Diceros bicornis minor: one gene and its partners. The protein of the gene in region 3 interacts with the protein of the main gene of each other region in a pairwise test. Links are inferred from orthologs where the notes say so. Each region holds a gene or a part of one and is shown on either strand. Other genes may lie near its edges.

The links.
Region 1: the proteins of RINT1 (region 3) and RBM41 interact in binary tests that used the Homo sapiens proteins (3 or more experiments, as listed by UniProt). The two-hybrid records come from large-scale screens. The link is inferred for Diceros bicornis minor from reciprocal best matches to the Homo sapiens genes RINT1 and RBM41.
Region 2: the proteins of RINT1 (region 3) and coiled-coil domain-containing protein 121-like interact in binary tests that used the Homo sapiens proteins (3 or more experiments, as listed by UniProt). The two-hybrid records come from large-scale screens. The link is inferred for Diceros bicornis minor from reciprocal best matches to the Homo sapiens genes RINT1 and CCDC121.
Region 4: the proteins of RINT1 (region 3) and CWF19L2 interact in binary tests that used the Homo sapiens proteins (3 or more experiments, as listed by UniProt). The two-hybrid records come from large-scale screens. The link is inferred for Diceros bicornis minor from reciprocal best matches to the Homo sapiens genes RINT1 and CWF19L2.

The regions. Positions count from the first base shown.
Region 1 is NC_080781.1:99,876,024-99,883,379, forward strand, and holds the start of RBM41 (RNA-binding protein 41), read right to left. Parts: upstream 3,011-7,356; 5' UTR 2,887-3,010; coding exon 2,879-2,886; intron 1,300-2,878; coding exon 1,183-1,299; intron 611-1,182; coding exon 418-610; intron 131-417; coding exon 1-130. UniProt on the Homo sapiens protein: May bind RNA.
Region 2 is NC_080751.1:55,294,756-55,301,307, reverse strand, and holds coiled-coil domain-containing protein 121-like, read right to left. Parts: upstream 2,627-6,552; coding exon 1,523-2,626; 3' UTR 522-1,522; downstream 1-521. Other genes in the region: GPN1 (GPN-loop GTPase 1), read left to right, coding at 3,553-3,663, 4,371-4,464, 6,096-6,135.
Region 3 is NC_080742.1:12,722,135-12,729,814, forward strand, and holds the start of RINT1 (RAD50-interacting protein 1), read right to left. Parts: upstream 3,017-7,680; 5' UTR 2,907-3,016; coding exon 2,865-2,906; intron 2,418-2,864; coding exon 2,372-2,417; intron 1-2,371. UniProt on the Homo sapiens protein: Involved in regulation of membrane traffic between the Golgi and the endoplasmic reticulum (ER); the function is proposed to depend on its association in the NRZ complex which is believed to play a role in SNARE assembly at the ER.
Region 4 is NC_080746.1:28,177,043-28,184,421, forward strand, and holds the start of CWF19L2 (CWF19-like protein 2), read left to right. Parts: upstream 1-4,362; 5' UTR 4,363-4,392; coding exon 4,393-4,485; intron 4,486-6,069; coding exon 6,070-6,180; intron 6,181-6,896; coding exon 6,897-7,019; intron 7,020-7,379.

The DNA of each region.
Region 1 (7,356 bases), on a different chromosome or scaffold from region 3:
GTCGGGTCAGCTGTTTACTCTTTGCAAATCTCTGTGGCAGGCAAAGGATGCGCTGACGCTCCGAGATCCTTTCTTCAATATCTTGAAGACGGTTCTGTATTGCTTCAGGAGTTGCCCTCAGTCTTGCCCTCTGAAACCAGAGAAATGAGACAGCATATATCATAGAGGACACACCCTGAAAGTGAAGATCTGATGCCTCAAATAAGAAAGAAGATGATCAGAGCCCAGAAATGATCGTTTACAGACATGTTAGCTAAGAAGTCAAGGAACAGCTTCTCTTTTACCAAGGTCCCTATCCTAGAAACCATAGATTCAGACACAAAGCTCAGTTTTGTGAGAACTAAAAATGAAAAGGTTCTCAGTGCCAAATGAAGAGCTCTCGTTCTTTATTCTCCAGAAAAAAATTGCCCCACTCACCTTTTCACCTGAAACATGGCTCTTCCAGATCAAGATTTCTGTTTCATTGAGCCCTAGTTCCCTGAGAGAAGCAGTCTCCTGGTCCTTCTCATGCAGTGTCTGAAACTGGGACAAAGTCATTGTCCCAGCTGCTTCCTTCCCAAAGGGCTTGTACATAGTACCAGGAGCAAAGCTCTCTTTCTTAGACACGCATCTGCAAAACAAGCAAGGAGAGACTAAGAAAATCTTCAAGCTACCATAATTTACAGAAATGGGGCTCACTACGAAAAGAGGCACAATGAAACTCATTGGCAATTTCTCTCTCATGTCCCACTTCTAGACTGAAGCAGCACTGCAACGATATGGAACCTGTCAATAATCCCTTCTTCCAGGACTAATAAATGACTGAATCAAATATTTATTTATTTATTGAGTACCTACTATACATCAGATACTGTGCTAGGTACTGAGGATTTAACAGTAAAAAAGATGAAAATGGTTTCTGTTTTTGTGGAAGAGAGGCAAGTAAAGAGGCAATGATAATATTGGGTTAGAAGTGCTATGTATGTTAAGGGGAGACATAGGAAAGGCACTTAGCCCAGACTTAGTGGGATATGGGAGGCATCCTAGAGTAAGAGACACAGAAGCAAAATCCTGCCTAATAAGTATAAGTTTGCCAAGAAAAGGGGGGTTGGAGAGGAGTGTTCCATCCAGGCTTTAAGAGGGGTCTGTCACCTGAAGGTGAGGGGCTATGATACTCTACTTGTCTGCAAAATCAATACCTACTCCTCAATGGAGACAGAGGTATCAAGTTGATGCTGAAGGAGGCTTTTCAGCTGCCTCTCCCCTTCTGTTTCCAACTCCTCCAGGACATGCTCATCACTCTTCACACAGCTATTTACCCTGGAGTAGAGATAAGAATATATACAGAAAGTAGAAGAGACAGTAAATCTCAAAATATATTCTTTATCTATATTATCTACCATTAGTGACCTCATTTGTTCAAAGATATTTCCCTAACTATGTGTTGCCCTTTATCATTCATTCCACAAACATTTACTAAATACCTACTTACACACAATGCACACCTTCCTTATAAAATAGCCCTTTACTATTGGGGTTAAGATGAGGCCTAGAAGATGTATCTCCCATAATTATAAGCAAGATTCCCATGCTCTAGAAAGACTTAGGCTTATTTTGGGAAACTTTAAAATATCCTTAGGCCCAGGGTTTTAAAAAATTCCTTTTAAGTATCTTAATTTTTATTTATTATCTACAATTCTGAAAGTGCTTGCTACGTTTAAAGTGGCTTTGACTCTCAAAAAGAAATGTTAAGTGAAAAAAAGCAAGCACAAAAAAGTCATACAACATGTGTCCATTTATAAAGAGTTGAAAAATGGATAAAAATAGGAACACTTTGTTTAAGGATAAATTCATATGTAGGAAAACTATTTAAAAAAAAAAAGCAAGGGAATGATTAGTGCAAAATTCTGGATAGTGGTCCCCTCAGGGGGAAGGGAGGGAGAAGCAATATGGAAGGGGCACACAGGGGACTTCTATTATTATTCTTTAAACTGTATATATACATTATTTTCATGTATGAGATATATCATAATAAACATTTTTAAGTCATTTTGAGGCAGGAAAAATCAGAAACGGTTTTTTTAAAAGATGCAGAAACTGACAGTGCAGGAGAGCATAGTATCAGTAAGAATTTTAAATGCTCCGCCCTATTCCACAGTGATTATTCTACTTGCAGAGTGAATACAAAACTAATTTAATGAGGTTCCTTTAAAAAGGCTTTGCGTTACTGTCAGTAATTGTAAAGGTCAGGCTTTCAACAATGACCAGCCAAGTTAAAGCTATTTCCTGCAGAACCAGTAGGGGGAACTGCTCGGAGCAGTGTGTTTCTGTTCCTGTAATACATCGAACCGGCTTTGTACTTTCCTGCTAAATTTGTAGAAACAAAGTACCACTTGCTTACGTTAAGACCTGAAAGCGCTACATGCTCTCCGGGCTCGAGCAAGTCTTCTTTAGTACACAAACACTGCAAATAGATGCGCCCACCCTGAGCCCCTTTCTGAGGGTGAGGTCGAGGTAGGGCGGGACAAGGCGGAGCTGGTCTGGGTTTCTCCGGCGCTGGGCATCAGTTAGCCAAGACCCTTTTACCTGGGTGGGTCCGTCTGAAACGGGAAGAAGCCACAGCATCCGTCCAGCTCCTGGGGCCGGCGCCGTGGCCTAGATACCTGTGCCGGGAGGGCATTCCTACGGGAACCGGCAGCGGCGGCGGCCCTTCCGGAACTTCACCCTGCAGGCCTGTCTTGCCTGCCTCTCCTCCTCCCTCCTCCTTTGTCTTCCCGTTCACACGAAACCGCATCCCGAGAACGTGACATACCCCAAACACAAAGTAATAAAAGCCATTTTAAAAGTTAAAAGGTGGAACAGAGCTCCCTTCGCCGCCTTCTCTCAGACAAGCCCTTACCTCTTCATGTTTCCACAGGCCCCTATCTCTAACTTGGGTAAATAGGCCGCGGACTTCAAGTCCCAGAACTCTGCGCGGCAGACTCTAAGGGGATTGTGGTAGAGTGCGAGGCTCTGGGAATTGTAGTAGGGCAGCGCTCAAAAAACGAAAAGAGAAAGTACATATTGAGTAACCGGTATGTTGTAAATTGTTCAAGTATTTTCTCTTGAATTTCTCGTAGAGGTTACAGGCAAAATATCCAGCTCGTAAACTTAGATGACTTCTTTACTCTCTCATTCAATATCACCAAATCCTGGCTCTTCTAATTTCTCTGGAATATGTCCCTATCAACCTTGCTTCTGCTTTCAAGGACTTATTATCCGGCCTATGTGATGTTTCCAATCGAGCCTCTGGGCCGTCCTCCGCAGTGTAGGCAGAGTGATCAGACAAGTTTGACCACATCACTTGCACTGATGGTTCTCCTCTATCTGTAACAGAGGCTTATAAGACATTGTACTTCCTATCCTGAGAATCAGAAATCCATATGTATTCAGGTCCTGACTATAAAATAACTGACCTGCACTCCTGAAAACTCATCAAAAACATGGAAAGTCTGAGAATCTGTCACAGTCAAAGGAACTAAAGGAGACAATGACTAATGTCATGCAGTATCCTGGATGGGATCCTGGAACAGAGAAAAGGCCCTAGGTAAAAACTAAGGAAATATGAATAAATTATGCACTTTCATTAATAATAAGGTTCATTAGTTATGGCAAATATACCAGAGCTATGTAAGATGTTAACGCTAAAGGAAACTGAGTGAAGATATATAGAAGTTTGTTCCATGCAACTTTTCTGGAAATCTAAAACTGTTCTAAAAAATAAAGTTTATTTTTTAAAAGTACACTAAAATAACATTTTTCACCTACCAGATTGGTAAAGATCCAAAAGTTTGAGAACATGCTTGTTTTGTTGAGATTGTGGCAAAATAGGCACTTTCAATACATTGCTGGTAGGAACAAAAATTGGTAGAGCCTCTACCGAAGGGAACTTGAGGATACAATTGAGATAAATGCATATTCCCTTTAGAGCAGCAATTCATTGTCTATGAATAGTATCCTCAAGTATGTATGTGTACATATATATGTGTATGTGTACATATATATATACACATATATATATACACATCATATATAAAACTATTCACTGCAACATTGTTTATAAAAAAATATTGGAAACAAATGCCCATGAATATGATATAGCCACTCAGTGGAAAACTATGCAGCAGTCCCAACGATGACAAAGTTCTCTATGGACTGCTAGTGAACAATCTCTAAAATATATTTAGTGCAATAGCAAGGTGCAGAACAATGTATATAGCATGCTTCCATTTGAGTATAAAACAAGGAATATATGTATGTGTGTGCTTGTATATGCATAAAATACCTCTGGGAAAACATACAAACAAGTAGTAAGTGAATGCCTCCAGGTAGGGGAACCGAATAGTGAGGGACGAGGGTGGGAAAAACTCTTCACTGTATATCTTTTTGTACCCTTTGAATTTTGAACCACATAATTATATTACCCAGTCAATAATATTTTTTATTAAAGAGAACCCTTCTTATATCACAAATAGCCAAAGAAGAAAAAGAGCATGGGTTTGGGGGTCAGACTGCTTGGATTTCTCTGTGCCCAGAGTTATTGACAATTTAACATAGTAGGCAATCTGGACTTGAACTTAACGCTTTTCAAGTTACGAGACTATGTGAGTTTCAATGAGTTTCTTTAACTGGTCTAGGCCAGTTTTCTCATGTGTAAAATGGGGATAATACCTTAGAATAGGGTGATTGTAAAGTACTATACAAAAGTATGGTTTCAAAGTCACTTGCTAGGTTGGTCATCTATGAGCAAATATTCCAAGGTTATCCAGTATGTTCAGATTTATTCAAACCGTCTGTATTGCCATGCTCAAGTTAGAGGATAAGACCAAAGAGCAGCTACTTGAAGACATTGTACTTCTTATCCTGAGAACTTGTAACAGATTGGAAATGTCACCGAAAGTATTAGAGTTATTCAAAACCAGTCATATACAAATGACTGCTGTTGAAGCACACAGGTGAATGAATACAGATATAACCTGCACCAATTTGTGGCTTTGGCACGGAACATGGACAGAATGTAAGCATAAACAAAGCGTGGGTCATATCATAGCCTGCGCCAGGTAAATCCTATATGGTGGTGGGGCTGAATTCTGCTGCTCAACCAAACTGTCCAATTGACACATTGATCTATAAGGGAATGGAAAAATACACCAAGGTTGCTAGTGTGTTTGTCCCGTGGGAAGGCAGCAAAGGGTGGAACAAATACTACACTGACCACCACACCAGACTTGTATACAACTTCTAATATAACATGCACCCTATTGATACTGAAGTGATACACACTACATTACAAATCCACTAGGTGGGATGAGTGAAGAATGAATAGCTAAAAAGACATACATAGGGTGGAATTGCAAATAGAAAGCAAGGTCATAAGGAAGTACTCTATGTGTATAACTGTAGCCAGTCCGAGTGGTAGGTACCAAGGGACAAACATTCAGAAAATTGCACTAGAAGGAAAACCAGCCTATTTCTAGCTCTGCCAAACTTATTAACTGTGGAATAATAGCTATTGCATTTCCCACAGCATCCCTCTCCCTGCTTTGAAAGGATATCAGACAGTGAATAAAAAGCTTTGAGATTTCTAGATGTTATTCCTGGGCACAGAGATCTTACCATGAGGTAATTTCACAATTTCAACCCTAAAAGAATTTATGACAAACTGAAAAATATGTCTCATTTGTCTAACAATTTAACAAGTTTAGTTTAATTAAGCCAGAAGTTCCTCCTTAACATAGACGTATTTTCAGAGTTTGTCCTTTTTAGGTGCTTTGTTCACAGCACACTTCTGATGACTACATTATGAAGCAATTATAATTTCCAGATATGAAGAAGATGCTAAAAACAAAAATCTTCTCTTGAAGAGGGATAGCATCACTCATCAAATATTAAGAGAAAACAACTGTGCATGTCTTTCAAATTCCCCAAATGAGATGGTATAAATGCTGTTATAGAGAGAATAAATATAGCATCTTTTTCAAAGGACAAAAAAACTAGATAAGCACCAGCAAAGTGTCAACACGATAAATTTAAGAATTCTCCTTCAGCTAATATCTTAGCTGGTCTTTAACAATGGTTAGGAGGGGCTCAAGACTCTGGTACCTAACATAAAATTTGCCTTAAAATTACTGGGAAAAACAGGTTATTTCTGATCTTTTAATTAATATTTGTTCAACGATGTCATGTCTTTTAGACACATGTTAGAACTAAAGTCAGAAGGAACCTGAGAGATGATTTAGTCCAAGGCTCCAGATTCCAGACAGTACATTGAGATCTACTAGTAAATCTTACAGTGTTACTGTATTGATCTGGAAGCCACTTGCCATCCAGTGGCCTCTTCTATATCCTGGAAAAAACACTAGAACTCCCAGTGAAAAGTCAATAGGAGTATAGTATCCTCCTCTTTCTTTATTTTACTGAGGAACTTTACAGTAAGCATTTACTGGTAGTGAAAGGAAATCGCAAAACTTCAGAGAAATGAAAACTAGTTTCTTTCAGTTGGGAAAAACTTAATATGGTCTCATTCATATTATAGACAAAAGATAATGCCCAAAATGGAATTATTTCTCCAGTTAATTAGGCAGGGACAAGACTAAATCCAGTGTTTCCTCCAATACAATACATTCTCTTTACAGAACATGGAAATTAACTTATGCACAGGCTACTTTACAAGAGTTGAATCTTCAAAAACAATAGGGAAAATGTCTTTATCTAAGGTATAATACTAATAACACTAGACTCAAAAATTAGAGATTATTCAAGATTATACTCAAAAGCTGTTTTCCTACAGAAATCATCCACAAAATTAAATGGTGTCTGGATTATTTTCATATTCTATAATTTTGAGTGGTAAGAAAAACTCACCTGATAAGAAGCTGCTACTTTGAGAAGTTGGGATAGGAAAAAAAAAAGAGGCAATGTAAGTTCTGATATTTAGTTTACTCATAAGGTGATGAAAATCACTAATACTCATTTCAAAAATATTTTCTTCCCGTAACATATACCCCCTCAGGATGGTCACGTGCAGTCAGTACAACAAAAATTCAGCTGAGTAATTACAGGAAATTAAACTCTAGTCACTCAAAAACTTTTAAGTAGTTTATTTTGGTATTATACTTTTATTTTTTAGAACATTACCTTTATTTATGACTTAGGTGAAACATGAAACACAAGAGATCAGACTATTCCCAAGCTAAGAACAAAGCTTTTTCTTAAAAAAAAACAAACAATTACACAAAAACCAACAACTAGAAATCATATGCTAAAACCAAGTAAAACACGAGGATACCTGTACATCAAAAATAAACAAACTGCCTGAACCTTGCCCTTTTAAAAACA
Region 2 (6,552 bases), on a different chromosome or scaffold from region 3:
GAATTCATTTTACATATGGATAAAACTGAAAATTCAGGAAAATTATTTTGAAGTTTTTCATCACTAATAATTTCTGGAAAACATAAAGTTGATTATATTTTCCCCATAGAGGAGCAATGTTAAAATATGGGGTTATATTCCTGTATTAGGATTCAGCATTCAAATAAATCACTGATCTAACCATATGTCATAAGTGCAAAAAATATTACTACCCTAAAAATCTATACTAATTTAAAATACTATTCCTAGTTGTATTAAATAGATGTAAATAGGACCTGCCCAGTGGTGTAGCGGTTATGTGCGCGTGCTCCGCTTCCACGGCCCGGGGTTTGCGGGTTCGGATCCCGGGCGTGCACCGATGCACTGCTTGTCAAGCCATGCTGTGGCGGCATCCTATATATAGTAGAGGAAGATGGGCACGGATGTTAGCTCAGGGCCAATCTTCCTCAGCAAAAAGAGGAGGATTGGCATTGGATGTTAGCTCAAGGCTGATGTTCCTCACACACACACGCACACGCACACAAAAAGACATATGGCATATATTAATTACAAAAGGCATTTCGTGTACTATTAAGTGCACATATAGTAAGAAAATGTAGTAAGTGACCTAAAACTAAAGTACTTGCTATATTTAACATTAAATAATCTTGTCATCTTAGAATTCAGGATGTTGCTAGGGAAATAGATGGCACAAAACTCTTTAAAAAATAATTTTAAATTTTCTTTTGATACAATTTCCTGAAACAGAGCTATTCAGTCACCTCATTAATACTGGAAATATTTCTTTACAGAAAACATTTTCAAAAGTGAGAGTTGACCTAATATACGTTCCCTTTATCTTTGTTTCTCAATTTACTCAGAGGTAAAATTTTAGGGGCTGCTTCAGACAAAAGGTCATCCTGCCCACTGCTTTTTGAACTTGCTGTTATTAGAGTACTTTTTCACTCATGAGAAAACTACAGAAGGAGCTACCTGGTCACTGGCACAAACTTTAAAAAAAACTTAAAAACACTTTGCCTTTGTGTGCTGAGTTGGCCTAAAGGAATGAGGATAAACTGATATTGGTTGTTTACAGAGCAGGAAGCAGTACATAGTCAATCTGAAATGCTACCCTTAATGGTGCTTTTTCTATAAAGAGATCTAACTTAGCTAGATGAAATAAATCACCCAACTGTTTTCCTTTCACTTCCTCAAGGTGGCTTTCTTGAGCTAGTTTAATGTACAGATATTTGGCATATGGTATTAGGTTATCTGGAGGTTTGAGGAACATCCTGTTTATTAACAAGAGCTAATTAAAGAAAAACCTAGTTAAGGGTAGCCAGTCACACTAATATCTAGTACTGCTGGAAAAAAGCACCTAATCCTTCACACTAACACATCACGACGGATATTTTGCCATAGCAATCTGAGATCCAAAAGTCTTCCTAACCAGGTTTATGTGGCACCTAAGAATACCTGCTCTGGTCCTTACTTAATCAGTGTTATTTTAGGAATTACTTTGGATTAATCCTTGATTTCGTGCCTAGGGGAGGGGTCGGTGTGGTCTTTGGAGCACCCTGACCTTTTGGGCACCATTGTGCCTGCCTTGCAGTCGTCGCCTCCCCGGCATTAAGCACTCCACATACCACTGCTCCTGCTGCAGCTGCTGCTTCTGATTTTTTAACTGGCTTGGTGTGGCCTGCAACTCCTGGCATTGCTGATTTAACTGCAGTAGTTCCTTCTTTAACTGCTGGTTCTTTCTGTTGATGTCACGGTAGAACTCAAAATTATACTGCTTTGCTGCCAACTCCAAGGGCTGGGTCTTCCTGTTAAGCTCCTTTCTTCTTCTCTTTCCCAGTTGACTCATGTCTGGCTCAGTCAGTTGTTTCTCCAGTAATGCCTTTTGCTGGAGGAACTGGACATGGATTTCCTGTTTCTTTGCAGCTGTCTCTGCTTGTAATGTCTGCATTTCTCTCTCCTGTTTCTCCTTTAATACTGAAATGTCCCTCAATGCTTGCAACTGCTGCTTCAAATTGGAATGGATCTTTTCCTTCTCCAAGAGCTCTGTTTTAAGCACTGAAGTTTGTTTTGCATATTTGGAGGCTGATTCTTGCCTCCTTCGTTCAGTCTCGCCACTTTCTTGTAAATAGTTGTTCCACAGTTTCTCAGGTTGCCTTCTATACTCCTCAGTTTTGTTGGTCAGGTATTCCAGAAAGAATTTGTTTTCAGCCTGGACAAGTAACTTTTCAGCGTGTAGCTGCCTCGTTTCCTCCTTCAGCCATTCTTGTTCCATTTGAGCTTGTTTTATTTGCTTGTTCAGCTTCATAGTTTCTACCACTATCTTTTCTTTAAACCTCATTTCTGCGTCTGTTAGCTTCTCTGACTTGACCAAATTATTTATTAAATTAAGATACGGTGGAGGGGAACTACTCGAGTCCTCAGCAAACCTGAAGGAAGAACAAGAGCAACGTTCCCCCATCAGTTCTGAACGGAATTTTAGGAAACAATAAAAAATGCCCAATTGTACTTTAATGCATACAAGAAAATATTTTTGAGCGCCTTTATTATATTCCTGACAGTGTGCAAGGCAAGGTAAACAACTAGGGGCAACGATGAGGGAGTGCAGTTTACAATTTACAATATGCATTCACTACAACCCTGTTAAGTATTATTTCAATTTTAAAGAGGAGAAAATAGGTTCAGAGAATTGAAGTGACTTCGCCACGATTTACACCACTAGCAAGTGGCAGAGCCTGGGTGTGACACCAGATCTTATGACTTACTGAACACTACAGAAGCTACAAAGGGCCACAGGAACAGACTGGGCGGTCGCCAGTAGGAATAAGTTTCTCCGTTTCACCACCTTGCGGGTTTCCGCGGGCGCTGCCTTGGAGGGGAGCGTCCCTTCAGTACCTACTTGGGCCAGGAATCCGAGCGTTCATCCCCAAGGTCATGGTGTAGTTCACTGACCGTGACTGCCAAGGAGTTAGCGCTAGTGTCAGGGGCCTGCGACACGTGAAAACGGCGACCCGGGGGGCACGTTTTAGCAGTTTCTCCATTCTATGCTCAATGGGTCTCAGCGCTGCCCAGCAACCCATGGGGTCGCACGTCGCCTCAGTCTGGGCCGGCCCAGCCCTGAGCGGCTTAACCTCCGCGGCTGCCGAATAAGCCCTAGCAGCCGCCTCTCTGGAGGCTCCGTTCCCCGCTCCTTGGGGGCCCAAAGAGAAACGCACGCTCTTCTTTTTCGTACTGTGGGAGCCCTGCCCTCGGGATCCCACCTGGTTTCGCTCTCCTAGGGACGGGAGCTTGGCCCTTCCCAAGCCGTACCCTACGACCGTGAGCTCCTCTTTTTCTACCCCCCTGCAGCATTCCTCCCAGCGTCTCCACTTCCCCGCCATTGTCACTAGTTGGCCCCCAAGCCGGGTCGGAACAAGAGAGGCTCTGGCGTCAACTCCGCCCCTTCGTCCTTCCCTATCGGGACAGTCCGGTTCCATCCTTCTCAACCGCGAGCGTCGCGGAAGTCTCTCTAGCCACGGGCGTCTCTATGGTAACGTGGGCGGAGCCAGGAGAAAGATGGCGGCGCCCGTAGCTGCTGCTGAGCCGGAGGCTTGCGGGGGTCCTCAGCCCCCAGTGTGTCTCCTGGTGTTGGGAATGGCGGGATCTGGGAAAACCACCTTTGTACAGGTGACCTACACGGCGCGGGCGTAGTATGGGCGCGCGAGAGGTTATCTGTGGCTGGCGGAAGGTCAGGGAGAAAGGGAGGTCTTTCTGTGGAGTTGGAGGTTACCAGCGCGTGGCTTTCGGGGACTTGCCAGCAACTCCAGTTCCTTCCTCGGCGAAGCCTTCTCAGACTCTAGCCTGGGTGAATTAAGGCTCTCTTCCGCGTACCCTCAGTGCATACTTAGTACAGCTTACCACGTTGTACTGGAATTGTCTTACCGATAAGGTTGCCAACTCCTCAAAGGCAGAGGCTTGCAAGTAACTCTGACGATTAATACAGTGCTAGCACATAGGCTTCCGGTGTAGATTGGCTAAAGAATTATTTCTTGCGCGCCTACCATGTTCCAGGGACTGGGGATACAGCGAAAATGAGATTGACAAGGTTCCGCTTAGAGCTAACGTTTTAGTGGGAGAGATAGGAAAAAAAAAAAAAAACCCACAAAATAATAAGTGATCGAGAGTCGGGGAGGCTCTGTTAGATGGGTGATAAATAAAGGTAACATGTCAACTGAGAGTTGAGTATTGGAGGTGGACATCAGGAGCGAATATTTCAGGTAGAGGGAAATGTAAGTGCAAAAGTCTTTGTGGGCCATAAAAGAATGTAAGTTCTCTCTTGTTCCCTTATCATGCCCTCTTTGTGTTACTCCATCACTCTCCCCATATCTCTATAGAGGCTCACAGGACACCTGCATAGCCAAGGCTCTCCACCTTATGTGATCAACCTGGACCCAGCTGTGCATGAAGTTCCCTTTCCTGCCAATATTGGTGAGTAAACTGTATAGAACTCTGTGTAGTGCCTCACAGAATGGAAAGCCTCCAGCCTGCCAGTCGTCAATGCTTTCATTTTTTTCTGAACTATCTACTTTCACTTCCCGTGGATTTGCTAGAATCCATAAACAGGCTTCTCCCTTATTCACATTTTCTCTTTGTTTACTCTCTCTTCTTTCCTAAATTTGTTTCCTTACCATTCACCTTTATCTCTTCCCTCTTTTTGACACTAGGGTGTCAGGCTATTGTTGTTTGGGAAAATGAAGTGATAGAAAGTCAGTCCTCTCACTTCTAGGCCATAAACCCTTCAGCAGGCTCTGATATGTAAACCTTTTTTATTTAATTTCTTTTCTCAAAGTTTAATTATAGTGTAAGGGTTCTTGTAGTTCATGTATTGATCTGTAGGAACCTTGCTTCTGCTCCCAAAGTTACATGGGAAAATGTATGTGTATATCCAAATATGCATTGTTTTGGAGAGAGGTTCCCAGTTATCATCAGACTTTAAAAGGAATCTGTGACTATAAAAAAGAATTAGAATGGTTGTGATCCAGTGTCATGATTCTTTTTTTTTTAATAATTTTATTTATTTATTTTTCCATTAAAGTCCCAGTAGATAGTTGTATGTCATAGCTGCACATCCTTCTAGTTGCTGTATGTGGGACACGGCCTCAGCATGGCCAGAGAAGCGGTGCCTCGGTGCGCGCCCAGGATCCAAACCCGGGCCACCAGCAGCGGAGCGCGCGCACTTAACCGCTAAGCCACCGGGCCAGCCCCAGTGTCATGATTCTTAATAGGATCTGGGCTTCCTGATTTCCAGGCTATCACTATATGCTGATCATCTCCCTCCTTGTCTCTTCTTAATCCTGTTAAGCTCCTTGCACCCTAAACATACTAATAAAGGAAGACCTTGTATTAAGAAGCAGAGATCATTTTGGGAAGAGTTTGAGAAAAAATTGCCCATTTCTCACTTAAAGGATGGAATTCTAATACTTTATGGGGTAGGTCTACAGACTGGTAGATAGGTTTAGTTTGATGTTACTGGACAGATTAGTTGTTTTTTAAAAATCATGTCTGCGTTACCTTTGTCACCAGTATGTGATTAGTAAGAAATAAACCCTTTTTCTTGACTTAGCTCTCTTGTTCCATGCGAGTGGTCACTGATAAGGTATTTAAGTTGTATAAAGCTTTTCTCCTTGTCTCAGACTATCTCTGCCATAGCTTGAGAGCTGCTAACCTAACATTCTTCCTGGGTTACTTGGCATTGTCCTTTTAAGAAAGGTAACTAGTATGAAGCTGGAGAAATCAGTAGAAGAGAATGCTGACAAGATAAGCCTAAAGGGCTAGTTTCAGTTTCTTGCTGGTAGGGAAAGTCCTTATAGGGCACCTTTTACCCTTCTTTTCTTCTCACAATCTTGCTTCTTTTGCTATCACAGTTCAATGATCTTAGCTTCAAAATTTAGGAAAAAGATTTAAAAGTGACTCAGATGCCAAGGGAGAAACTTATTTTTTTTCCTTAGAGGAAGCAGAGATGACTTGAGAGGCCTGTTCCCTGAGGATATTATAGGTGTAGGGTCTCAAACTGTATTGTTTTTCATGTGTTAAATTCCAGTTAATTTTTATCCCCCCAGATATTCGTGACACTGTGAAGTATAAAGAAGTCATGAAACAGTATCCTTTTCCACGTCTACTTCAGTGTTGACTCATCCTTGGCTAGTTACTGTCTGTGTATTTTATGGCTTTGAAAGAATATTTTTGTGTTTCCTTGTGAAATATACAAGCAAAAGCATTTGATTGCTTTAAGGTAATTTTATTAACAGGATGGAAGATGGATGGGGGGAGAAGTATTGTAGGTGATTAGAAATACCATTTCAGCTTATGATTTCAGTTTTCTTACCATCTTCCCGGACTGCAGGCTGTTGTAATTAGAGAGCACAGAGATAGAGAGGCAAGCTGATAGCGTATCTTGATCCCACAAGGTAGTATTGCCTTGGAGGATACATCCATTGGTCACCACCTCTTCAGACTGGGAAGCTCAGAAGTGAGTAGGTTTAGTAGGATGAACCCGTGTTGCATTGCTGTGTGAAA
Region 3 (7,680 bases):
ACCGCTTCTCCGGCCATGCTGAGGCCGCGTCCCACATACAGCAACTAGAAGGATGTGCAACTATGACATACAACTATCTACTGGGGCTTTGGGGAAAAAAAAAAGAGGAGGATTGGCAATAGATGTTAGCTCTGAGCTGGTCTTCCTCAGCAAAAAGAAGAGGATTAGCACAGATGTTAGCTCAGGGCTGATCTTCCTCACAAAAAAATAAATAAATAAATAAAACTGTTTAAAACAACTGTCACTTATGCTAAAATGAAAATATGACTATCTAAATAGAGATATGCCTAAATGCAAAATGTAACTATCAAATATTGTTCAATTCTTTACGTAAAAATTAATAGAATATATACCAGTGTGTTTAATACTGGGTATGTTCCTCTTCCTCAACCCCTAAACAACAAATTTTCCTTTGTTCTAGTCAACTTATAAGAATTAAAAGCTTGTTCATATAAGAACTAGTAGCCCACCAGTAGGTAGAAGCAAAACTAGCATAAGTCTATGCCTCAACTTCCCAACTATAAACTATAACATTTGCCCAGCCTACATTTAAAGGTTGTAAATGGGACTAAAATCCATGTTTCCCTGACTCTCAACCCAATATTCTTATTTTCTTCTCCTTCAAATATGAGCAGAATTGGCTGGTCTGCATCAAACTTCATTGATACAGAAATCCATCTACTATTATGCACCGGAGTCACAATGTCTTTATTTATTTATCTTAAATAAAATGAGTTGTGTGGTGCACCTGCAGATACACAGAAACAGGGCTATGTGCAGAAGGAATGTTTTGTGAATGCTAAGGTTGCTGTAGCTTAGGGAGTAAATTCTATGTTCACTTTTATTTTTAATTATACTCTTTTGATATAACCCTTATCAAATGACATTCTTCAAAATGACACACTGGTGTTTTAGGATGTTTTTATGTCTCTCTTTTTCTCTATTATTTGTAAAGAGCACTCCTAGTTGCAAAGAAGTTGAACAAGCCACTAAAGGAAGGACAAGGACAAAGTCTACAGTCTGCATCTATGATTTTACTAAAATGACAGCTCAGTAGGCATCAACTCTCTGAGCATCTGAACAAGGTAAAGGTGGAAAAGGGAGGGGTTTCACTGAAAGATATGGGGTACTCTCAAATCCTCCAAGGAAAAGGAGCTGAACTGTGGCAGCTACGACTGTCAAGTACTGTGGACTACTCAGAGCTTTCTCTCTGAGGCCGATGGTATCAGTAGACAACGTGAGGGGCAAGCCCAACTCCTAAATCCAATATGGTAATGTAGACACCCTTCTCTTACCACTACTCATTCCCAGACTATTTGTCACGTTCAGCAGATCCCATAACCCTCTGATGGCATAGCTGTTACATGCTTTTCCCCTTCCTCCCCCAATAAATTTCACTTCAAAAGCCCCTGAAGATTCCTTGATTTCCAAAAGCCTGCCATGCCTAGCTTATTAAAGTAAAATGACAAATGTCCACATCTCTGACATACGCTCCTGTCCTAGGCAGGAATTGGAGGTACTGACCTTTCCCCTCTGCCTTGTCCAGTCCAAGACCCAGGATCCAAGCTATCCTCTGTGCTCTTCCCAGATCAACTTTTTTTTTTTTTAATATATATATATATTTTTTTTTTTATTGATGTTTTAATGGTTTCTAACATTGTGAAATTTTGGGTTGTACATTTTTGTTTGTCCATCACCATATACATGACTCCCTTCACCCCTTGTGCCCACCCCCCACCCCCGACCCCCACTGCCCCTGGTAACCACAGTCCAGTTTTCTCTGTCCATGTGTTGGTTTATATTTCACATATGAGTGAGATCATACAGTGTTTGTCTTTCTCTTTCTGGCTTATTTCACTTAACATAATATGCTCCAGGCCCATCCATGTTGTTGCAAATGGGACGATTTTGCCAGATCAACCTTTAATTGCAAATTCACTGAAGGTAAAGTACAACTAAACAACTATCATTTGACTTCTTTGAACCCAATTAAGGAGGCAGTCATCTCTCCTAGATCATTAGCCCCTCCAAATCCTGATGCTTAATAAATTGTTGCTTCATTAAAATAACCGGCAGGCTCCAATTGTTTTGAAGCCAGTCTGACAGGCAGAACTCCAGTAAAACCACACTAGTTCTTGCACAGGGCAGGAGTCAGGAAGTGCTCTTCTCCAAATCATCCCATAGTTTATCATTTTAGAAAGACAAAAATATGTGTATAATGATAATCAGTAAATGCAAGCATATTGTAGAGAAAAAAGATACTTCATCTAAAAGATAACAGGCTAAGACTCTTCTCGGATGCAGACCCTGGAAGGCTGAGTTTTGGCGAGATGGCTGGGTACAAAGCACTAAGGTGTTTGGGGTCGCTTACTTTTCTCCTCGACGTTTTTCCTTTCCTCACCACTTTCAGAGCAGCACTAGAAGCAGAAGAGGCGTGACAAACACATTAAGACTGAAGTGGTAGATGGAACTCATACAGGGCTCCCAGAGGGCATCCACTGGAGGACTGCGAGGTCCCAGGCCCCTTCCCCTGGGGCCTTCGTGAAGGGCCACGGCCGTCTGACGCAGGTTCTAAAACGGGCCACCTCTCTGGGGCCACCACTGCCATCCTGCCCGTCCGCCAGGGCCACCTCCCCACAGAGATCTGTGTCATCTCACCGGGGTCGCCGGAGCCACTGCATAGGGACTACCTCCCCTGGGAGGTCTGTGCCACCTCACCAGGATTGCAAGGGCCACCTCCCCCGGGCCACGGGAACCACGTCCCCAGGTGCCAGGGTCACCTCACCAAGAGAGTCTCCCCTAGGAGATGTGCCACCTCACTGGGCCACCAGTGTCCCCTCCCCGGGCCACCAGCGCCGCCTCACCGGGGTTGCCGACGCCTCGCCGATCTCGCCGGGCGGGAGCATCCCGCCTCTGCGAGAGTCCTCGGCTCCATGCGCAGCCAGCGTGGCTGCGTGGTCCAGCTCCCGCCAGCGACCAGCACCAGCTCCGCCTCGGAGACTGCGGAGCTGAGTGCCACCGCGACTTCCTCTCGCCGTCTCTCTCGTTTCTTCCTCTCCTCCCAGAAAGGCCCTGCCCGCGCCGCCGCTGGCCGTGCGCGGTGGCTCCCCCTGCCGGCCGGGGGACGTCGGCCGCTCCGGAAGAGGGGGGCGATCCTTCTCAACCTCGGTGAAACATACTTCTCCTCGTTGGGGCCCTTAATGATGGAGCTTGAAGGTATCTGTCCTTCCACACCAGAAATTCAATATGAATCATTTCATTTGTATTTTAGATGATATCCCAGACGTTCTGAGAGTGTGAGGGGGCTTGTTGATCAGCTTTAATGTAATTTGGTCGGGCTGTTTACTTGGGGAATTTCCAATGTCGTTATCTTTGGATCATTCTTTTAAGGCTTATCAGATTCAACTAGAGATGACCCTCCAATTGCCTGCGTGGAGGGTCCAGATCTGGTTGTAACCGTTCTGGGAGCTGAATCGAGGAAAAGGACTCGGCATCTAAGAGGCACTTTGCACAGTGCAGAGACCCCAAAACACCTGTTCTTTGCCAGGGAGAAGGAATAGAGTTACCTGGCAGCCAGCAAGGGGTAGGTAGAGCACCCAGGGATTTGACAACTTCAAAAACAAACGCGAAAGGAGATACCATAGAGACTAAATCAAGTAGCGGGGGTGGGGGCAACCCTTAGAAGAAACAGAAACCGTTCAGTGGGGAGAAAACTTGTGTGTGCATTGTGCAAGATGACATGAGTGGAGCCATATTAAAACAGAGCCAGAGCAGCCATTTCAGAGGAATTGCCTTGCATGGCTTGTTTTCTTTTATCTTCAGAACTGGACCAAACCACCAACATTCCAAAGAAGTCTGTAAGGACAAGGATACCTTGTCTGTAAGAACTGGTGGAACTGGACTTTGCTGGTGCCTAAATCGCTAACCAATCAATGAAGTACAAGTTTAGCGTTTTGTCTGATGATTGAACCTCAGGCCAATCTATGAAGTACAAACCCAGCCTTATCTTATCTAGCACCAATGAACTCTTCTTTAATACAACTCACCTTTCCTCCCTTTTTCCCATAAAAACCCTAAGCCCTCTTCTATAATCAGGACACTGTTTGAGTTTCTACCTGAATCTGTGCTCCCAAATTGCAATTCTTTGATCCCAAATAAATGCTTTGCCTCTTAAACTGGTTTCTGTTTTTGTAGATTGACTATATATATATAAAATCAATATCCTGAGATATGAAATACCATTGCAACCATAAAATAATAAGAGGATACTACTGTAATTTATTTATTTATTTGTGAGGAAGATTGACCCTGAGCTAACGTCTGTGCTAATCTTCCTCTATTTTGTATTTGGGACCCTGCCACAGAATGGCTTGACGAGTGGCATGTAGGTCCACACCCAGGATCCAAACCTGTGAACCCTGGACCTCCAAAGTGGAGCACACCAACTTAACTACTATGCCACCAGGCCAGCCCCAGGATACTACTACTGTATTTAAAAAGGAGTGTTCAGAGACAAAATATATGATATCCGAAATGAAAAATTCAATGAAAATGTTCGAAGATAAATGTTGGGAAATATCCTAGGGAAAAAAATCAAAAGGACAAAAAAATGGAAAACAGGAAAAGAACAATAATAAATTAGAGGACCACTCCAGGGAGTCCAAAATCTGAAAAATAAGAATTCCATAAGAAAAAAACAACAGGGGTTAGGGAAGGAGTGAGCATCAACAAAACAATTCAAGGAAATTTCCCTAAACTAAAAGCCCTAAGTTTCCAGACTGAGAGGGCCCACTGAGTCTGCAGCACAATGGATAAAAGTCGACTCACCCCAGGGGCCGGCCCGGTGGCGCAAGCGGTTGAGTGCGCGCGCTCCGCTGCGGCGGCCCGGGGTTCGCTGGTTCGGATCCCGGGCGCGCACCGACGCACTGCTTGGTAAGCCATGCTGTGGCGGCGTCCCATGTAAAGTGGAGGAGGATGGGCACAGATGTTAGCCCAGGGCCGTCTTCCTCAGCAAAAAAAGAGGAGGATTGGCGGATGTTAGCTCAGGGCTGATCTCCTCACAAAAAAAAAAAAAAAAAAAAAAAAAGTCGACTCACCCCAAAGGCTCATCATTGTGAAATTACAGAACACTGGGGACAAAAAGAAACCTGAAGCTTCCAGAGAGAAAAACAGATCACTAACAAAGGATCAAGAATCAGCATATCTTTCAGTTTTTCAGCAGTCACAAAGAAAGCTGAAAGACATGGGAGCAATTCTATACAATTTCAAAAGGAAATTTATTTCAAACTAGAATTCTGTACTTGATTAGTAAACTACCAATGAAGTGTGGGTAAAGAATAAATGTATGTTCAGACATTCAAGATTTCAAAAAATTTCCCTTTCATTTGCTTCTTTCTCAGGAAGCTACTGGAAGTTGTGCTCCATTAAAATGAGGGACTAAACAAAGAAAGTAGAAAACACAGGCTATAGGAAACAGAAGATACAACACGGGAGAAAAATGAAGTATGATACCCTGACAACAACTGTGCACTAGACATCAACTGGTGTAGGTTAGAAGGTTCCAGAAGAGACTCCTTCAGAAAGATGAAACTGATAGAACACCTATCTATCTAAATCTCTGGAGGGAGAGATTTAAATGATCATAAAGAAGTTTGAGCTTGGCTTAGTGATGAATAGTAAGCCAAAATAAGATAATCATTAACTACAGGAAAAACAAAAAGCTGAGCAGAAGAGAAGTAATCATAGTATACTATTTTGCCCAAGATGTGAGCAATGTTTACCTAGTCATAATGAAGTAAACACAAATCTATTTTTTAAAAAAGTACAATATAACTATATCGGGCAGATAAAGGGATGGGAAGTGTGGTGGGGGTGGGGGAACAGATGGGAGAAGGAAGAAGAGCTAAATCCTCATTTTCCATTAGGTGAAGTCAATAGGCAATGCCTAAAAGTGAAAAATGAAGAAATAGCAATACAAACATTTTATATAGAGAAATGAAGGTAAATATCAAAATAACCATTGAAAGAGGTGAAATGACTGCCTTTGAGGAGGGGGAAACAGGTAAGGGGAAGAGTGGAGATACAGTCTCTGCTGTTTCATTGCAAAACTTACAAGGTTTCTACAGAATTGTTTGACTCTAAATCATAGACGTGTATAACTCTGATTAAAATAAAAACTAAAATTAAAGAAGTAAAAAGATTGCTCTAGACTCAAATTTTTGCTTCTGAAGATTTCACTCCCTGGTAAAGGAATTAGACATGAAAATAAATAATTTAAGATTGAGTGTGACACCAAACCTCTTAATCTCAGGTCCCTGTGCCCAGTGCACAGGAAAAGCCAATCACTGAGACACCAGTCCTTGGAGATAGAGACAGGCTTATTGGAATTGGCCAAAACAAGAAGGCAGGAAAGCAAGTTCTCTCAGATCTGCCTTAACAAAAGAAGAAAACAGGGGATCTTTACAGGGCTAAGGGGCTGGCAAGGAGGATTTTCAGGGAAACAAAGAGGAAGTCTGTGTTTCTTTCACTTCAGATAAGACCTTGAGCAACCAGACTTCTTGGTGTCACCGGCAGCTGGGGTCTGGTCATCTGGTGGTCGTGAATTCCTTAAAGGCATTCTTTTACTTCTGCAAAATAAGCTCATAAATTCTCATGACCCTTGAGTCACCCCTTTGGTTAGACAAGAAAACAGCAAGTTAGCAAGCTATAATTACGTGCATGCCATGGAGCAAGCATTTGGACTCCATAAATACATCTAGTGGAGACTAAGGTTATTTATTAACTTCTTTTCATCTGTGGCTGTATTGGGAACGAGGTCGGAACATGTTGGGAACATGTTCTTATGGAATATTTACAGTAACCCTCAGGTACCTGGCTTCAAGTGCAGTAGGTTCAACAATGGAAATGTTTGCAATGACTGAGGGAGCACAGAAAATAGTTACTCTCTGGCGAGAGGAGAGAGGCATCTAAGATGGATGGAATACTAGGCAGTAATATGGACGAAACAAGAGATAAATTGTGTGTGCTGGGCACATAGCAATCCATAGTGCTGGTGTGGAGTTAAAAGCAAGATCCAGAATATTATACATGATATACATGTTAGGATGTATTTTTTTTTGGGGGGGTGATGAGGATTGGCCCTGGGCTAGCATCTGTGCCCATCTTCCTCTCTTTTATATGTGGGACACCTGCCACAGCATGGCTTGACAAGCAGTGTGTCGGTCCACACCTGAGACTCGAACCAGCGAACCCCGGGCTGCCAAAGCAGAGCATGCGAACTTAACCACTACGCCACTGGGCCAGCCTCGTAACATTAAACTGTTAGATGTCTATCAGAAGGAGTTGGAATGGGGAAGAGGCTTTGAACATTTCTGTATTTTTTTGTGTGTGTGAGAGGAAAATTAGCCCTGAGCTAACATCTGTGCCCATATCCCTCTATTTTGTATGTTGGTCGTCACACCACGGCATGGCTTGATGAGTGGTGTAGGTCTGTGCCTGGGATCCGAACCCACGAACCCAGACCGCCAAAGTGGAGCATGGCTGACTTAACCACTATGCCACAGGGACAGCCCTCAAGAAGATACTTTTTAAAGTATACAAAAATTAGAAGTTTAGGATTGAATTTTTACTGCGTGGCTGTGGAAAACGTATTTGCAGTTGGTGTCACTGGGACATTAACCT
Region 4 (7,379 bases), on a different chromosome or scaffold from region 3:
TGATAATGGATGAATTCAGGCTGACAACACTTGAATCCACTTATCAATCTTAACTTTATGAAAAGTAGAACTATGATGTGCTTCAAGACATGATACAGTAGGAACGAGACAGAGGTATTTTTGTAAAAAATATTGAATCTGAATCTAATCAAATCTCTAACTCTAACTACCAGATTATAAGAAACAGGGGATAAAGAAACAAGTTAAAATAAAATTTAAAAAAAAGAAGATACAGGGGCTGGCCCGGTGGCGCAAGCGGTTAAGTGCACGCGCTCCGCTGCTGTGGCCCGGGGTTCGCTGGTTCAGATCCCCGGCGCACGCTGGCGCACCGCTTGGCAAGCCACGCTGTGGCAGTGTCCCATATAAATTGGAGGAAGATGGGCACGGATGTTAGCCCAGGGCCAGTCTTCCTCAGCAAGAAAAGAGGAGGATTGGCAGATGTTAGCACAGGGCTGATCTCCCTCACAAAAAAAAAAAAAAAAAAAAGATACAATAAGCTAAACCCCAAATGTGGGATATTCTAATAGAAAAGGAACCCAATCTCTTCAATAAATAAATGGCCTGAAAATAAAAGAGGGGTGAGTGAGAATTGTTATGGTTTAAAAGAGGCTTAAGTCATCTTTCTCTTTCAGTTCCTTTCCTTTTCATTTTCTTCCAGAACAATTCAGTCCCAAAGTCATTTGGTGGGCTGAATGAGGTAGGCATCTGTGTCGGTGAGTGGAGGGGAAGTAGCTCAGAGCACAAATGGGTTGAGAAGGGTGCTCATGTGGATTGAGGGGCCTCTGGAACATGGGAATCAGGACCCAAGCAGGGTGAGGAGTGTATCTGTGTGGGAGGATGGCCTGGTTCAGGGTGTTGGAGCCTGAGTGGGGTAACCTGGCACAGGATTTCAGGGTTTCAGAGGGGTGAAAAGGGCATCTGTGCAAGAGAGGGGGGTGGTTATGGCAACAGATACTGGTTACATACTGGATAATTGATCAAATAAGTTAATATATTAAAGATAATGGGAATTAGGTTTATCCATGTTGGAGAATGGAGTTACAAATGTGGAAATGAAGAAAACTAGAATGAACTCTGTGGTATTGAATTGGAATTGGAGGTATCTGTATGAACTCATGGTTTCAATATATATAGACATATATAGAAGTATAGTCATTTATGTGTGTCTATATCTAGATCTTTGTCTGTATCTATGTATCTTTCCTCCTAGCTCTGTCCATCGAAAGGACCTGGGAGCAACAACACCCCAATGTTAATGAGCATACCTAGTGTCCAGATCTTGGCTTTGACAATTTTGAACTTAACCTGAGCCCTGTGCTCCTGTGCTCTTTCCTTACCAAAGTCTGGATTTTTTTGTTTGTTTGTTTAAGCCGAGGAAGACTCCCCCTGAGCTAACATCTGTTGCCAATCTTCCTCTTTTTGTATGTGAACTGCCACCACAGCATCGCGACTGACAGACAGTGGTGGAGGTCTGCATCCAGGAACCAAACCTGGGCCGCCAAAGTGGAGCACACCGAACTTAACCACTGGGCCACTGGGGCTGGCCCTAGATTTGTTTTTTATTTGACAGTTTCTAAATACCACCTTAAACAAAAATAAACCAGGGATTCTTGGAAAATGGGCTGATTCCAAGGCTTGGGCAGAGAAAATACAAAATGAAACTAGGTTATCTTCTTGTACTAGCAAATAAAGAAACACTCAAAGAATATGGAGGCATGTGAAAAGGACACAGAAACCAGCTTGAAGGGGCTCTCCCTGGCTAAAACTGGGACAATTTGTGCATCAAATAAATACTGATAACAATGTATTATTATCTCACTGAATAAAAATATGAATCTACTGAATAAAAATAGAAATCGAGTCCATATTGATATAAAAATAAATAATTTGAAAGTCTGATGAGAAATTTGCATAGTTTCAAAAAACTGCCTCACAAAATACTTGCTAATTACAAAGGGAAAAGGAGTAATCTTACAGTGGAGAAGTTTGGCAGATACCACTTTAATTAAATGATCAGAGTAAATATCACTAGTAATGAACAAATGGAAATTGTGTGTTACCTGATAGGATGCAATGAGAACACAGTCACATTTCTGTGACAGTTCTGCCCAAGATGGCTAACCTGAATCTAACCACAAAGAAACCTCAGACAAACCCAAGCTGAGTGTCATTCTATATCCTAACTGTCCTGGAATCTTCATGACTCTTCTGTAGTTAGTTGTGGCCATGTGATCTACTTCTGGTTCATAAGATTTAAATGGGAGAAAGTGGAGTAGGCTTTACCAAAGTCATCATTGTTCTACTTAAAAATGGGGTAGGCTTGGGGCTGGCCCCGTGGCTTAGCAGTTAAGTGTGCAGCTCCACTACTGGCGGCCCGGGTTCGGATCCCAGGCGTGCACCAACGCACCACTTGTCCTTCCATGCTGAGGCGGCGTCCCACATACAGCAACTAGAAGGATGTGCAACTATGACATACAACTATCTACTGGGGCTTTGGGGAGAAAAAGGGAAAAAAGGAGGAGGATTAGCAATAGATGTTAGCTCAGGGCCAGTCTTCCTCAGCAAAAAGAGGAGGATTGGCATGGATGTTAGCTCAGGGCTGATCTTCCTCACAAAAAAAAAAAAAAAGGGAGTAGGCTTAGCTGGCATACACTTTTTGCTCTATGACAATTCCTATGTCTTAATCGATGACATATGCAGATATGGAAGAACGAAACGCACTCTTGCGACTATGAAGACTTGAGTTACAGTCTAAGTGTTACAACGCAGAAAAGGAGAAACAACCTGTTTCCTTCAGCAACTGCACCAAGCCTGGACCAGCTACCTTCAGGCTCCTTATTACATCACCCCTTGTTTGATTAAACTCTGGATTTCTATTAGGTGTGGTCAAATGCAAACTAGTCAAAACAACTTGCTTTTCCCTTATTTTTCTATATCACCCCATCTAGCTCCCCTCTCTGATCCCAACATTTTTTTGTTGGCAATTTTACTGGTATTGCATTATATTTGCAAATTAATTTATGGACAATAGATTTCTTTATGATGTTGAGCCTTCTTCAAGCACATGCTATACCTCTCCATTTGTTCTAGTCTTTTGTGCTGTAAGTAGGGTTGAAAGTTTTTGTCATATAATTTTGCATGTTTCTGCTATAATCACTATTTCTTTTTATTTGCCCCATAATTGACGCGGGGGGGGGGGAATGATGTTTTTCTGAATCCCAAGAGAATCTGAAAGACTTTAATGCCATTAGAGTTAATTATGACATAATCAGTCAAGGCACAGTTAGTGGGTTAAATATTTCAAGGCCAATTCGTAAATTAAAATTCACTTTTCTGTAACAAAAATAAGAGTACATTCTATTTTGTATATCAAACGTGTAAACACTGCATGCTCAGAGTTAAGATTTTCATAGATTAGGTAAAGTAGAAACTCCTGGGAGAGCTTCTTGCAAACACAAATTCAGTTTTATGAAACCTGAAAAGAAAGCGTATTTACCTGTCTAGTTTATGTTAACTCTTTTTAATGTCATTAAAGTATCTAGTTTATAATTATTGTCCAGTCTTCTTTATCTTTATGATTATAAATGTAAGCTCAGTGTTTTATACTCGCAAAGCACTTGATCAGTGCTTCAGAATGTCTTACTCAACATGCAACTTAAAGTTTTATGTTTGGGAGAGAGATTTTACGTTTGTATCATAAAACAAAAAAAAAAATCACACAAATAAATCGGTAATTGCACACTGTAATGAATAATGCTTGGATGGATAAGTACGAACATATAATATGAGGTCGGAGAAAAAATAATGTGAAACAACAGTTTAAATAAGCACGGATAAATTATGAAGTATAATGCAAAATTCACAAGACTTTCTCATATACTTAAGAAGTAGTTCACCAAAGCAAAACACCGACTCTTCGAAGCAATTTTGCCCTCCTGCTAGCTTGCACAGCCTTTCTGGCCAGCCTCCCTTCAGCCCATTTCCCCAGCACAGGGAAACTTTGGCGAGAAGGGCACTTCGGTAGAAATCTTTGAGAGGTACGGATTTAACCTTTATGAACTTCTAATTTACTCTGGTGATTTTAAGAGGAAATAGGTGAGAATGCCGTTAGTATTGCCCAAAGTGCGTAATAAATGTACTGTGACATTAATCTTGCTCGGTGCGATCTCAATATACGAAGCTGGGCAACTCCCGAGTTTGGTTTTCAATTATCCTTTAAAACCTGGAGCTGAAGGGATCACCAGAACATTAAGCAACACTCAGATCCGCGCATGCTCTGTTAATGGAGCAGCGCCCCTCCAACCACAATCGGAAGTCTCCGTTTGTTTATTAAATTACGACAGTCGTAAACAGATTTCGTGACGGCTTCCTCGCTTTACGACGACAGCGACTATGGCGGCTGCGTCCGGTAGATTTGAAAGTGCGAAGGGCATCGAAGAGCGTAAGGAACACACCCGGATTGCTAGGGCCGAGGTGTTGCGCCAGGTACCTCCGTTTTGGGGCTTTTGGAACCATTTAGAATTGTGAGAGGGGGGTTCCTGGGAGCTAGGCCTCTGCCTCTCCTCCCTTCCCGCCCCCTCTCTTCTCTCACCCCCTCAGTATCTCACCTTTATTTGGGTGCGTGGGTGGGGTCTCCCTTTGGGATGCCCGTAAGCTCTTGGGTACCTCCCACCTCCTAGGTGCTCTGGCAAGCTCCGGTTGCTTACACTCTTTTTCAGGAAGGCTTGTTTCTTTCTTCTGAGTTTCTTTGCCTTTTAAATCATCCATTCTTGACATTTCTGGCACCTTATCATTTGGGCTGCGCACTTTCCAGGGACGCCGCCGCTAATACCGACTCTCCTAGCATATTTCATAGCCTCAGTCCTCGTTTTTGCAGTATTTGAAATGAAATTTTCCGTGTTCAGGAACTCATGTAAGGAGCATTGGAGTAGACTGTGTTTGACCGTTTTATTCTTCTGTTTACTATTGGTATCAATTTCAGGCTTATTGTAAACCCTTACTGGTCAAATCAAGGATTGATGCAAGAGAACCAGAAAATTTAGTCCCCTGAAAAATGTTGGGAAACATCGTATTTCTCATTGAGATTGAGATACGTATAGGTAACTTATAAAGAAAGGAGGAAGTAAACTGTACTGAATTATTTGACAAGATGTAAGAAGTATGGCAACGAAGGAGAAAAGTTGTAGTTGGAGAGAAACATATGGTATAACAAGTGAGGGTTTTTATTTTTGCTTAAGATGGAAGAGTTTAAAACGAGTTTAAATGCAAATGAAAAGGAGCTGGTAGAGGAAACAGGAAGGAGAAGGCATAATGACTACAGCCAGATTTTAAAGGGGAAGAGTGGGCTGTCGGTCTTGGATAGGTGAAAGGTTGGTATTGATCCCTGATTGTACCATATTTAATATATAATAAATATTCTTCATCCTTGTCTCTTTGATATTTCAGGTGTTTTTTTGGAGTGGGGTTTGTAAGCTGTGATAAATTTTATAGTAGAGCTATGCATAGAGTTTGAGAAGGACCAAACCCAGCTTTGGAGTTTGGGGAGAGAATGAAAGGGCAGGAACAACCTCCTAGGAAGAACTTACTTTATTTGACAGTTGTTGAAGGTTGAATAAAAGTTAGGAATATAATCATTTGTTTTGAGAAAGATGATTCCTTCTGAAGCATTTTGGGAGTGTGAGTAGAGGGGTATGGGCATTGAGGATTAAAAATGTGCAGGTCAGTCTCCTAACATTTACAAAAGTCTCAGGCAGTAGCAGTGGGATGGTGAAGATAAAAGAGATTCAAGTTGTATTTAAGGTAGGGGGCTTAGAGAGAGAAGAGGGTCTGGAATAGGTCCCAGATTCTGTCCTTGATTGGCGGCTGAATTCACTAGAGATTGATAATATGATTGGTCATGTGGAACGAGAGATTTTTGTTTTTTAAACCTTTATACTTTGGTAGAAGCACATTCCTGGCGAGGGACAGACAATTCATTCATGAGCCTTATATGAAAGTGAAAGTTTTTGTTTTACTTTTTGTGAAAAGAGATTGGATCAGTTGTTAATTTTTCTTTTTTCATTGTTTTAGGCTAAAGCCAATTTTGAAAAAGAAGAAAGGCGTAAAGAACTTAAGCGACTTCGGGGTGAGGATACATGGATGCTACCTGATGTGAATGAGCGAATTGAACAGTTCTCACAGGTGAATACTAACATGTTTACCTGATGTAAGCATGTTTGTCTTTTTTTGTACTTATTCAAGTTAGTATTGGAGGAGCAACTTTATCGACTATTTTCACAAGTTTCAGAATGAATATCCCATATGGGCATTATTGAATAGTTTTTCTGGCATAAATAATTTTAATATTGTGGGCATTATGACGTTGGAAAGATTTTGTTACTTGAATTGGCAGGTAGAAAGCTTAGCTTCAAATTTCTGGCCCACTTGTAGCAAGCTTATGTGTCTAAAAAATTATGCATTTTAAACTTAATGTCTTTTTTTTTTGTCTGAATCCTTGTTTTCTCTTCCTGTAATTTATGCTATCTTGTTATATTTTATATGGTTAGTAATCTGTAAATACTTTTGGAGCCCTAGAAAGATATGTACGTATGTATGTTTATGTTTGTGTGTATATGTGTTTATTTGATTATATCTGTCTGTCAGATGTATCTACAAATAAAACTAAAACTTCTCTCATTTTTTTTGATAAGAAATCTCAGCTATATGACTTATTAGTAGTGCATATGTTACAGAAGCATGTTCAAGTTTCTTAGAAGATTTTATTTAGTTATATTCCTTGTCTCATTTCATGAAAGATATAAAGTTTTTTGGAACATAGATCTTTTTTTCCCTTAAAATATTTCCTTTTAAAGTAAGCTAAAACTAAATTCCTTTCTTACTCTTCAAAATGATTATAGGAACACTCTGTGAAGAAAAAGAAGAAAAAAGATAAGCATTCAAAAAAAGTAAAGAAAGAGAAGAAAAAAAAGAGCAAGAAGCAAAAGTATGAAAAAAACAATGAGTCAACTGATAGTTCATCAGTAAGTATGTACTAAAACTGACCAAAGCAGCTACTTGAGAAAACTGTATTTAAAGGAACAATGTATGGGAACTTAAAATATATGAGAACTTAAAAAATATTACCAGTTAGGGTGTGAAAATACCTGGGAGACATCTACTTGGAGATGTTCAAGAAATATTGGAAATAAGGATCTTAGGTTACAGAGAAAGGTGAGAGGATGGAGGTATGATTTGGGAATCACTGCTCGTTGAAGCCAGTAGAATGGATGAATTGCCTAGGGAAACTGAAAGGAAAGAAGAACACTCAACACCAAGGAGCTAGACAGGAAGTAAAGGACACTGAGTAGAAGTAGCTGGAAAATTAGGAGAAGCAGGAAAGA